Drosophila melanogaster: one gene and its partner. The protein of the gene in region 1 interacts with the protein of each later gene in a biochemical or structural test. Each region holds a gene or a part of one and is shown on either strand. Other genes may lie near its edges. The genes, in order: eIF2alpha and PEK.

Region 1 (4,495 bases):
TACGCACACGCACGCACGTACAAAGGCGGCGGCGGCGGCGGTGTCGGCGACCAACGACCGACACGTACAATACACATGCACATTACTGTATGGGTGTGCGAGCGGCGAGGCGAGAGCGTGCGCGTGTGTTGGTGGGCTGGTGTTGCCTTTTTTTTTGCCCAAACCCCAAAAAACCGCGTGCATTATTACACATTTTGCCCAGATTGTCGGCACTCGCGCAATTCGATCGCATCGCGTCCACTTTCACAAGCACCGGCGGTTCGCGGCCAACGCGGAGCGTACGCTATTGCAAAAATAATTAATAATATTTACCTAGCGTGTTCATAACCACCTCTTCCAGCCATGTTTTATTTTTTTCAAATGAGCGAATTCGCTGCAAACCGCAGTGTGAACACACGGGCGAAAAATACTATCGCGGCGAATTTGGTCGGGCAGTGTCACCACACCAATTAGCTGATAGCCGCCTTTCTTAGTATTTTGGTCGTTAGCAGGGACGCATGCCCAATTGCGTCCAATTTTCAGATATCGATTAATATTTATAGTTGTTTAGCATTCTACAATTGTTCCTTTTCTAATGAAACATTCAAAAATGACATTGAATACATAGAGAGGAATACATATGTTTGTATAAATTTTTTTGTTGAAAAAAATAATACTAAAAGTAACTGGACACAAATGGTTTTTTTTAATACTGAAAATCTATTTAGCGGTATTTTTTTTTGGAGCACCAGGATAGTTCTTATCGTTATCGACAGTACAACTAATCAGCTGTGAAAGTACAAACTGCTATATTTTATATAGACTGAACTTAAAATTAAGTCATGGCGGACGACAACTGCATTTTCTGCCTAATTTCCGATGGGCGGATCCCCTCCACTGTTTTGGAAGTCGAAAACGATGACTTTGTCATCTTCCAGGACATTAAACCCGCTTCCCAGCACCATTACTTAGCAGTGACAAAAAAGCACTACGCTAGCCTCAAGGATCTTAACAAATCGCACGATTCTTTGGGTAAGATTGGAATTGGCGTGACCTCGGGCCATGCCCTAATAATTCTGATATCCTTGGATTCCTTACAGTGCAGCTCATGGAGAACGCCCTGAAGGATCTTCTGGTGTCCAAGGGAGTTTCTGTCGATGATGCCCTCTTCGGATTCCATCTGCCGCCGTTTATCACGGTGAAGCATCTTCACATGCATGCCATTAGCCCACGCACCCAAATGACCTTCCTATCTAAGATGATCTTTAGACCCTCCGTTTGGTTCAAAACCGTAAGTATTTGGCTATTCTGATTTTGACCACTTAGAGGCCCGCTTTAATTTAATCTTATCTATTTAATTATAGGTCGACGAGGCGCGTATTTACCTTTCCCAAAAAGAATAGATCGGGACCATCATAGATAACTGTTAGATAAATATATATTGTACTCGCGCGCTGTCATAATTAACTAATAAACGGAGCCAACCTATACAAATATTCTAATGTTCTTTAAATTAAAAGTGTAGCTTCTAAAAAAACCGATTCAAGCTACATGTCATTACATATTTAATGGCCTTTTTGTATGCGATAATATGCAACCTTTTAAAATGTTCTGCAAATTTAAACAGATAAATATGAAAAATGAAAATTTGACATATGGGAATTATCATCATAACATGGATAAAAAGTGACATATAGATAAAAGAACAACTGCTTTTTATTCCTATTTATCAGTATTAGCAATCTATATAACTTTTTGAGAATTTAACTTTTGGGTCAATTTTCGCAATTTTTGTAATATTGCAATAAATTTAACAAAAATTAACATTTCCAATTTGAAATTGATTGGTATTTAAATAACAAGCTCGCCAAGGGATGGCATTCCACATTTGGACTATTATTTCGAATGTTCTGATCAAAATTAAAACCAAAACAGTAAAATTTGAAATTGACCGGCAATCCATGTGACAAACAATCGATAGACCGCTGCTGCCCCACCTTTCCAGTGTGACCAGAAGCAATCCAATTGGCAACGTTTTGCCGGCTACGCAATTAAATATCGATAACACCACTGTCATACCTTACGCTTCTTCTTCTTGCGCCCGCTCGGCAGAAATTGTACACGTTTTTCATTTCGAAAAGTCCAAATTGCCCATTTTTTGGCCATAGACCACAGACTTTAACATGGCCCTGACGTCGCGCTTCTACAACGAGCGGTATCCGGAGATCGAGGATGTCGTTATGGTGAACGTGCTGTCCATCGCCGAGATGGGCGCCTACGTTCATCTGCTTGAGTACAACAACATCGAGGGCATGATCCTGCTGTCGGAGCTGTCCCGCCGGCGCATCCGCTCCATCAACAAGCTGATTCGTGTCGGCAAGACCGAACCGGTGGTGGTTATCCGTGTTGACAAGGAGAAGGGCTACATCGATCTGTCGAAGCGTCGCGTTTCGCCCGAAGATGTCGAGAAGTGCACCGAGCGCTTCGCTAAGGCCAAGGCCATCAACTCACTGCTCCGCCATGTCGCCGACATACTCGGCTTCGAGGGCAACGAGAAGCTGGAAGATCTCTACCAGAAGACCGCCTGGCACTTCGAGAAGAAGTACAACAACAAGACGGTCGCCTACGACATCTTCAAGCAATCGGTCACCGATCCCACCGTCTTCGATGAGTGCAACCTGGAACCGGAGACCAAGGAGGTCCTGTTGAGCAACATCAAGCGGAAGCTGGTCTCGCCCACTGTCAAGATCCGTGCGGACATCGAGTGCTCCTGCTACGGTTACGAGGGCATCGACGCTGTCAAGGCATCGCTCACCAAGGGCCTGGAGCTGAGCACCGAGGAGCTGCCCATTCGCATCAACCTGATAGCACCGCCACTGTAAGTACCTGTAAACTATTGTAATTTCCCTTGGTGTAGACGAAATTAACGAGGGTTTCTTTAATTAAAAGAATACGAAAATTGTAGATTTCTGTTCTTCATTTTAGCCGAAATTTATCGTTAAATAATAAGGAAATCCCTTTCATCTTGTATATATTGTAAATGACCACTTGGTTAAGAGAAAAACTTATATTCAATTTAATTTTACAACTTCTTGTGAAATCGAAATAACTAAAAATGTTGCTTAAATGAGTTAATTGGTTCCTAAACGTAATCGCTCTTCATCCGTATCCTTTTAGCTATGTAATGACCACATCCACTACCAAGAAGACAGACGGTTTAAAGGCTCTGGAGGTGGCCATTGAGCACATTCGCGCCAAGACCAGCGAGTACGATGGAGAGTTCAAGGTGATCATGGCACCCAAACTGGTTACGGCCATCGACGAGGCGGATCTGGCCAGACGCCTGGAGCGCGCTGAGGCCGAGAACGCCCAGGTGGCTGGCGACGATGACGAGGAGGATGGCGCCGACCAGGAGGGCATGCAGTTCGATCCAGAGAAGGAGTTCAACCACAAGGGATCGGGGGCGGGTCGTGCGAACGAGGAGGATGAGGAGGAGGAAGAGGATTAGCGTAGCCACAGCATCAGACACAACTATAGCAACTGTAACAAACAATTAAAGGAGTTTTGCAAAAATCAGAAGTTGTAATTTTATAATTTATATACATAACATATAACGAATGCTATTAAAGATTTATAAAAGTGAAAACAGCGAGATGCCCAAGAAGACAAATCAAAATGCGCTTGCTCATCTTTTTCTTTTCAAATCCAAAACAATACTATCGACCATTTATTATTGAACCCAATTCAGTTTTTCTTGACAGACCCTTAATACTAATTCAAATTGTGTATAAGTGTAATATTATTTAATAGTCAGGCATTCTTTCGTTTTTCTTTTGTATTTACTTGTTTCATGTTTTCGTTGATGCGGCTTGTTTCCATCACCGTCCAGATTTTCATTCATTAAATTTTAGATTATATCGCTTACTATTCTCTCTAGAAAAAACCAACCCACCTCTGCTTTAAAAATGACCCGGTAGTGCTGCGTAGCACCCTAATTAGATATTGTACATCGTAACAAACGATTCGTATAAAAAAAGTGACATCAGTTTATAAACATTTCACTAAATTAGAAAGGTTTTCGTTTCGGTATTCATTGCTTTGTGGTTGTGTATAGTCCTTACTATTTCCTATTTGACTTTATATGTGGCGTGGCGTGGCTTATTATTTGGTATTGCTCGGAGTATTTCGTTGGAACGGCTTCCAGTTAATGGGGTCCAGTCTGTTCATCATCCTATTGCAATCCGGTTTCTGGCTATGGGGAGTTCGGCTTTAGGTGGTGGTGTGGGCTGTGCGTCTAGCCGCGTTCAGCTGAGTTCGCTCCCCGAGGCGGCATCGTTGCGGTGGAGCAGCACGGACCTGGCCGCCTGCTTGTTACCGCCGCACAGGCGCAGCACGGTAAGCACATCGCTGCGAGGATAGCCAAGGGCCATGAGATCGGTGACATCCTGTTCGGTGAATCGTTCTTGAGGACTGATCGTGTTGGGCCCGCCACCGGCGCCACCGCTCTCCCGTTTGC
Region 2 (8,060 bases), on another chromosome or scaffold:
GCACTGCCCGATTCGTAATAGCACCTCGATGCCGTCCAAAAGTTCCATGCTTCGCACAGTGCACATTGATTGCAAAATTTCAGCGTTCATTTTTGGCCTCCGCTTTTCTTGTTGTTTTTAACGTGATTTCAATAACTTCTTGTGGAAGATTAATAAGTGATCCGTGTTATCAGTTTTTGTTTTTATCATTAAATGTTGCCCCAGGCCGGTCGGGTACAGGAATTTTCACCAGACTCCGCTTTATTTTTATATAAAATGATGTTTTTAATGTACTGTTGCCCAGAGCTGTGCACCTCAATATCTTCAATGTTTAAAGTACTTTTCGTTTAATCAAATGCATGCAAATGATCGAAACCCTCAAGCCCCAACGAATACCTATGATGAATGCCTACGGCTCTAAAGATTATCTTTTCTCATCCACAGCTAAGCCATGGCCGACACACAAGCCAAGTCCACTACTGCGCCCAAGGCCGCCAAGGCCCAGAAGGCTCCCAAGGCCGTCAAGGCGCCTAAGGCCGAGAAGCCCGCCGCCTCAGAGGCTAAAGTTTCCGCCAAGAAGTACAAGCGTCACGGACGCCTCTTCGCCAAGGCCGTCTTCACCGGCTACAAGCGTGGTCTGAGGAACCAGCACGAGAACCAGGCCATCCTCAAGGTATGTCTATACTTCAATGTGATGGGTCCGGACTTCACAGAGTTTTTCAAATAATAATTAATACATTCCAGTTCTGTAAAAACATTTTAGTAATGTAATTGATTAACCAACATATTACATTGCAGATTGAGGGCGCCCGCCGCAAGGAGCACGGATCCTTCTACGTTGGGAAGCGTTGCGTCTATGTCTACAAGGCCGAGACCAAGAAGTGCGTGCCGCAGCATCCCGAGCGCAAGACCCGCGTCCGCGCTGTCTGGGGCAAGGTCACCCGCATCCACGGCAACACCGGCGCTGTGCGTGCCCGTTTCAACAGGAACCTGCCCGGTCATGCCATGGGCCACCGCATCCGCATCGTTAGTTCAAACACACCTTTTCTGTCCGACAATTGGGTTGTATTAACATGCCTTCTTTTTTCTTGCAGATGCTGTACCCATCAAGGATTTAAGTTAATATCCGACTTGAATTACTGACCTGCAGGAGTAAAAAATCCGTTTTACATTAAATGAAACACTTTAAATTTAATTAAAACGCAACTTGGCTTTTTTATTAAGGCGAGATACCGATTGAAAGTTGACGGTAATCTGTATATCGATTGATGGCTGTTCGGTTTGACTTTCCCTACTGCAATGAATTATCTTTTGGCGGGACCATCCACTTCGCATTAAAATCCATTTATATTGATCTTAAGTAGCAGATGAAGACGATGGAAACGTTTTAGAGTACGAATTGAATGTGGATTTCGAGACTCTTGGCTAATGTCGTTCCTTTAGATCAGACATACCACTTCTACCATAATAGATTTTAATTAGTTTTGAAAATCTCAAAACTATTTTTTGTATTGCCAAAGTCAACGAATACTGTAGTGTGTACTACTAACGAATCTTTTCGCAAGGACACTAGGGGTGTATGGCGTAGCCTTTCTGCTCGAAAATCATACGAATTCAAGTTTCTGTTAATCAACAATGCGGTTTCTAAAAAAATCAAGGAAATGGTTTCATAGTAATCAAAAGTTTTTTAAAAAGAATAAATGTTGTAATAAACGTTTCTATATTATGACGAATATACCACCTAACATATTTTTAGAAGGTAGAGCATATTTAAATTAAAGTAATGTTTGAATTTCATTTGGTATGTGTCAGAATTATAGCCGAATAGAATTTATTTTTAAAACACGTCGAATAATAGAAGTATTCAATAAGAGATGAGATGGAAATAATACTTCATCTACTTTAATAATTATTGTTAAGTTGTCCCTATTTGTGTCAAAACATGGGCGTCAAACATTGTTTTAAATTAGTTACTGGAAAAGTTTAAAATAGTAAAACCTTAGTGAAACTGTTCCCACCGTGTGTATTTTTTTGGTACTTTTAGGTAATGACGAAATAAACTGTATTGTGGTGTCATCTGTTATTTTAAGGCTGTCAAAACGCGGTCACACTTGCAATCGCGCGTTTTGCGGCCCAATCGGAACAAAAACATAAACTGACCAGTTTTAGTGGATTTAAATAGTGGAGTTGCGATTGATTGCTGCAGGAGCCATCGAGAGTGATGCGGAGATGTGCGCCGACCTTGCCGGGAGCCACTGCCGCCGCTGTTCCACCAACCGACCCCCCGAAGTGAGGTCAACACGTCACCGTTCGAACCAATTAGAGACTTGCATTTCTGCACCGTTCCCCGCGTCCGATCGCCAACGACCAGGATTACGTTATATGCGCGTACGATGCAGGACGACCTGGATGGCATCGTGAGGCATCGTCGCCGGAGCCTGAGCTTCCTGCAGATCGTCACGCTCACTATGGCCGGCCTGGTGGCTTTCGATCCCGCCCAGGTGCTAGCTGGGCACCCAACTACTGATTCGGAGCTCCAGACTGCCGGATCTCCCCGTCCCCCCGGGCTCGAACACTGCGTAGATCAGGAGGAGCGTCGCGTTGCAAGAAGGTACGTACCCTAACCAAAGTATCGGGAGGAATGCACTGGTATCGAATGGATTGTAGCAGAAGAAGAAGAGTGCGTTATGTGTGTGTTATGTTTATGTTCTCGAACATTCGCTAAAACGCGGTGCAAGTGGATAAACGAGCAGCCAGCACCTAGGCAAATATTGCGAAGAACACGTTAGTGATATTTGGTTGAACTACTCGAAAAGTGCCTATTTAATCAGCTAAAACGGGGAATTCGAAGAGAACTGTGGTACGACGGGGGGCCAGTGAAAATACGTAGCTCAAAATTCTCGGCTGATCCGACAAGTTGGTAACATTTGCGACGGCCCTTAGCTTTAAGTACCTTGTCCCGTCTAACACGAGAAATTCGGAGAGCTTCTGTTCAACTTGAAGTCTGGGAGCGATCTGATAATATGAACCCACATGTTTGCACCTTGGCCAACTATGAAAACCCGTAATCAGTGGACGCGCTTATCAAGCATGCGGTGAGTCATTTGCAAGATCTTAACTGAATTTTTGTTTGAGGCAGACGTCTAGATATGTTGTTTGGCAAGCATGCCAATCCGAACTGGTTTCCCCGATTGTTTTGCTTTCCTTTGCGTTTGTGCAAGGTTTTCACTGAATTTCACAATTCTCCCCCCGTTTGCTTTATCCCCCCTTTTTGCGGGCGCCATTTTCGGCTCCTTGGTGGGCGCGACAGAGATGGCGATAGGGGAAATGGAGAGGGGCCAACTGACACTTGTTGTTCCTCGAGTTCTTGTCTTCTTGGCGCAAAAACAGCTGAGTTTACTTCCCATTTACCTTTTCTACGCTGTCAGCTGGGTCTGCCAGTGTGCCCCTTTTCCTGCTTTCCTTTATTCTTGCCCCATGCACCGTGTACCTGGTGACGGAATCGGTTGCAAGCACAAATCAACTTTTTGTATAATTGCAAATTTAACTCTAGTATTTAATCTTTCGAGTTGAAATATTTTAAACAGTTAACCAAAGGCTTACTCACTTACAGAAAATTCAATTTTTACATTAATTGCACGAATAGAAAATATTACATAAAAATCAAATCATTACTTGAATCTATGTATGCTGTGTTTTTTGTTTTTTCTTCAAAATCTTGTGTTTGTTTATTTCAAGCTCGCCCATGGTAATTGGATATTACCTACATAAAGGGTATACGGTATTCTTATATTTAACAAGAACGGCTTTTAAAAACATATTGGCCTCGCCCACTCTAAATTCCACAAGCTACAAAATCCTTGTTACGCTGACACGGTATCATTTAGCGAAAATAACAATTTGGCAAATTCCGCCATTATGGACTATTAGCTAATATGGAGTAGTCGATATTTATTTATTAAATATGGAAATAAAAACATTAAAACTTGGTATTGCATTATTTATTCTATCCACAGACTCCTATACATTTCCACGCTTGATGGTCGACTGAGCGCTCTGGACATCGCCAAGTCCGGCAAACTGCGCTGGAGTGTGCCCACCGGACCGGGGCCACTAATCTCGTCCAGCATCCATCGATTGGAGCTGACCAACAATGGGCAGTTCGTACGCATGATTCCCTCTTTGAGCGGCGGCATCTACAAGTTCGACGGGGACTCCATCGATCCCATTCCAATCACGGCGGAGCACCTACTCAGCTCGAGCGCCAAATTCAGCGATGATCTGGTTATATCCGGAGGCAAGGAGACACGCTCATACGGTGTTTCCGTTCGCACTGGCCAGCTGCTGTATGAATGTTCTCTAAACGGATGTGTAAACTCTACGGAGGAAGGGCTTGCAATCGACGACACCATTAGGGAGCCCGATGAGGAGGATCAGCTGGAGGACGGAGAACAGTTAAGGGACGAGGCCGGCTACATAGTGCGCCATGATCCTCTCCTTGACGACGTTATTATCGTCCGCCGCCAGACACAAACGGTTCGGGCCGTGGAATCCCGGACCGGAGTGGAGCGTTGGAACTTTAGCGTAGGTCAGCATGAGTTGGATCTGGTGAGACCTTCCGAGTGCCAGCTACAGCCGCGCGATGAGCTGGAGCTGGCTGTTTTGGATGTGGATATAAAGGTGGTAGTGCCCGAGGGAATTATCTGCGCCTTCAGCAAAAGTGAGCCACAGACTATGCTGTGGAAGTACAAGGTAAGTGGTGATGGCTTTAATATTAAAGGCAAATTTACTTAGTACTTTTCGTGTGCTTTTCAGTTTGATCACCCAATTGTGAGTGCCTGGAATACAAATGCCGACGACGAATTGCAGCCTATTGATTTGTTTAGCTCGGCCCAGTGGCTTTGGGACCAGGACGAAAATGACACGGAGCTGCCCAATGCGCCACAAAGCCCGCCATCCATCTACTTGGGCATGTACGATAAACAGTTGTATATTCAGGAGTCAATACGTCTACGCCAGGAGATTATGGACCAGACCAAGGTCTATCAGCAGCTTACAGGCGACACCAGCCTGATGCCCAGGATTCCCTGGAAGCCGATATCCGCCAGTAGCAAATCGCTGGTAATCTTCCGGAAAGACCAGGAGGACCCTGAAATGATTGCTGAGGGAGCTGTGGCACAAGGAGGGGAACTGGTGCCCTATGATGATGAAAACTTCGCTGTGGCAGCGCAGTCCGTATTGAATGCATCGGAGTTTGTCAATGGCAATGGTTTTTACTTCTACACCACTGGCGATCTGAACGGCCCGCAAGAGTGCAGTACGCAGAATAATCCAACTGACCTTCCAGCAATCACAGCTCCAACATCGCCTACCAATGCCACATCTGAGGGAACGGAAGCTACTGGAAACCATAGCGTCAACGACGATTTGGGCTTTAGTTTGGATGACATTGATGCGCCTGTAAAGGTTGTGATATTGTCGTTGTGGTTCTGGTGGAAGGAAATCGTGGTCATAGCATTTACGTCGGCTGTGATTCTAAATATTTTCATGGGCCAACGAAACCAGCGCGTGGAGCGAGAGTATCTGGTCATTGAACGTCATGTGCCTGTTCAAACGGCCATCGAGGCCACCGAAGCATCCACACAGGCTTTACTAGGTCCAGTGGTGCCGATGCAGCGACCTGGAAATCGTTTTAGCTTCCCACCTGGACAAGCAAATCAGCGCACCATTTCGGAGTCTACAACTCATTCAGGCGAGCATTACACTTCCCGCTTTCAGTCCGACTTCGAGTTGATGCAGTGCCTTGGTCGCGGTGGTTTCGGAGTGGTCTTCGAAGCTAAGAACAAGCTGGATGAGAACCGATACGCCATTAAGCGCATAACGCTACCCAATAAGGAATCTTCAAGACAGCGAGTCCTTCGCGAGGCTCGAACTTTGGCTAGTTGTGAGCACCACAACATCGTGCGATACTTCCATGTAAGTTCTTCTATCTATTTAAAAGTTAAAATTAAGTTTTTAAGTATTATCTGATGATAAAACTCTTTATTGTAAAATTTCCAGTCCTGGACCGAGACACCGCCGACTGGTTGGCAGGAAGAAGAGGATCGCAAGCTGCTTGCCCACGAGCTGTCCACCTCTATCCAGATAGAGACGCCGGACGATAGTACAATGCCTTCGTTGACGGAGCAGTTGAAGGAGAAACGCCAACAGCAGCTCTTGTCCTGGGTTTCGGATGCAGCCAATAGCACCGCTTGTAGTCACGACTTTCATCTACCAGGCGAGTCATCACTCAAGAACATACGCGAGGAGTACGACTACGATGAGGAAGAGGACTCGCTCATTGAATTCCGCAGCGAGTCGCAGTCAGCCGCTTTACGGGCAGAGGAGGAGGATGATACCGACGACGACTATGAAGAGGATGAAGAGCAGCAGGGAGACCATGAGAAACGACATCGCAGCTCCGTGTCCATTGACATCCATTCGGCCTCGTTTGACCTTAAGAACATAAACTACTCACAGCACCAACTGGTCTCCAATTCGTTTCAAATCGAATCTGTGCGCCCCAAGAGCAGTGGAAGTGATGATGCGAATGACGATAATAAAGCTAGAAGGAAGCCCCTTACCTTGGCACTGGCCCAGAATCACAATAACAACCAAAACGGGAGCCAACCTACGCCCTCCAGTGCCACGATTCTGAACGGAACGGTGGCCAAGCCCAGCAAGGTGTACCTCTACATCCAGATGCAGCTATGCCGCAAGGAGAGTCTGCGCGACTGGTTAAGGGACAACCGGTCGGAAACAAGGGCTGCCCACATTGGTGACATTTTTCACCAGATCGTTGATGCCGTTGACTATGTACATTTGAAGGGTCTGATTCATCGGGACCTGAAACCAAGCAACATATTCTTCTCGCAGGATGGACAGATAAAGATTGGAGACTTCGGGCTCGTCACCGACATGGCCGATATCCCCAACCTGGTGGCCAAGTGTGGGGACCAGAGTGGCCTGCCCTCCTGTGCCCGCCACACCCAGCAGGTGGGCACCCACTTATACATGTCGCCGGAGCAGCTTTTGGGCCAGCACTACGACTACAAGGTGGACATCTATTCACTGGGACTGATCTTCTTCGAGCTGCACGTGTACTTCAGCACTGAAATGGAGCGGATCAAGACACTGCGCAGTCTTCGGGACGGCCAGTATCCCAAGGATTTCGCTGTCAATTACCCGCAGCAGTACGACTTGCTCCAGCAAATGCTATCCGCCCAGCCAGAGCAACGCCCGCAGACCAAGCAGTTGAAAAGCCAGCTGCGCAACATTCTGCAGCTACCTCATCTCCTCTCGGAAGGACAAAGCGAGCAGGCGGAGCTGGCGGAGCGGGCCAGGCGCCTGAGTCGCAGCCGCACCTTCAGCAGCTCCAGTGAGCCGCATCAGTGATAGATCAGACAATTTGGGCCATGAGCTTGGACACCCATTCTGTCAGCGCCAAACTCAGTCACTTATAGCATTTCGCTTGTGAGTCATCAGTATCGCCATCGCTTATTCCTTACCTGGCTATGCCTTATTCGCTGACCTCGACCCGTAAAGGTCGCAGATTCATTACCGGGCAACCCTAGATTCAATAAGTTTTGTATTACGTTTACCTTTACTCTTGCGCGTCGCAAATTACCAACAAAATGTCCTTTTGTTTTTAAGACTTAACCTTAGGAATTATACATACACATAAAGATGTACTCCTAAACAGTCGTTAGCCTAAGTTACCTAAGTTACCTACGATGCTAAATTGTTTGTCTTAGTTTGTTTCTACCCATGTAGCCGCCCAACCAATGCGAGAGTTTGTTTTTAGTCGTAGGCGATAAGATTAAAATAAAAATGTCAAAAATAGAAATGGAAATGTTTTCTAATTGCCCATAGAGATAATGGTTGTGACTAATCGCTTGGCATACCTTAAAGCAGTCGCCGCATGCGGCAACATTGTGTGTAGTAATGAAATTGGTTGAGGCGCTGAAAAGTCTTACATAAATGATATACGCAATAGGCCACTAAGTAATTGTGTACGTACTTCTGATTGAGGGAAGTCGCAG

What was found.
Region 2: of the proteins of eIF2alpha (region 1) and PEK, one has a biochemical effect on the other in vitro, tested with the Drosophila melanogaster proteins (one study listed by BioGRID).

What each region holds. Positions count from the first base shown.
Region 1 is NC_004354.4:16,444,547-16,449,041, reverse strand, and holds eIF2alpha (eukaryotic translation initiation factor 2 subunit alpha), read left to right. Parts: upstream 1-2,048; 5' UTR 2,049-2,162; coding exon 2,163-2,857; intron 2,858-3,156; coding exon 3,157-3,487; 3' UTR 3,488-3,866; downstream 3,867-4,495. Other genes in the region: eIF4H1 (eukaryotic translation initiation factor 4H1), read right to left, coding at 313-344; CG34015 (uncharacterized protein), read left to right, coding at 822-1,011, 1,080-1,270, 1,344-1,382; rngo (rings lost), read right to left, coding at 4,284-4,495. UniProt on the Drosophila melanogaster protein: eIF-2 functions in the early steps of protein synthesis by forming a ternary complex with GTP and initiator tRNA. This pre-initiation complex mediates ribosomal recognition of a start codon during the scanning process of the leader region.
Region 2 is NT_033777.3:5,458,745-5,466,804, reverse strand, and holds the start of PEK (pancreatic eIF-2alpha kinase), read left to right. Parts: upstream 1-2,051; 5' UTR 2,052-2,372; coding exon 2,373-2,590; intron 2,591-2,909; exon of another isoform or gene 2,910-3,012; coding exon of another isoform or gene 3,013-3,074; intron 3,075-3,684; exon of another isoform or gene 3,685-3,724; coding exon of another isoform or gene 3,725-3,753; intron 3,754-3,995; coding exon 3,996-4,731; intron 4,732-4,794; coding exon 4,795-5,955; intron 5,956-6,039; coding exon 6,040-7,413; 3' UTR 7,414-8,060. Other genes in the region: RpL35A (ribosomal protein L35A), read left to right, coding at 431-652, 778-1,005, 1,074-1,097. UniProt on the Drosophila melanogaster protein: Phosphorylates the alpha subunit of eukaryotic translation-initiation factor 2 (EIF2), leading to its inactivation and thus to a rapid reduction of translational initiation and repression of global protein synthesis.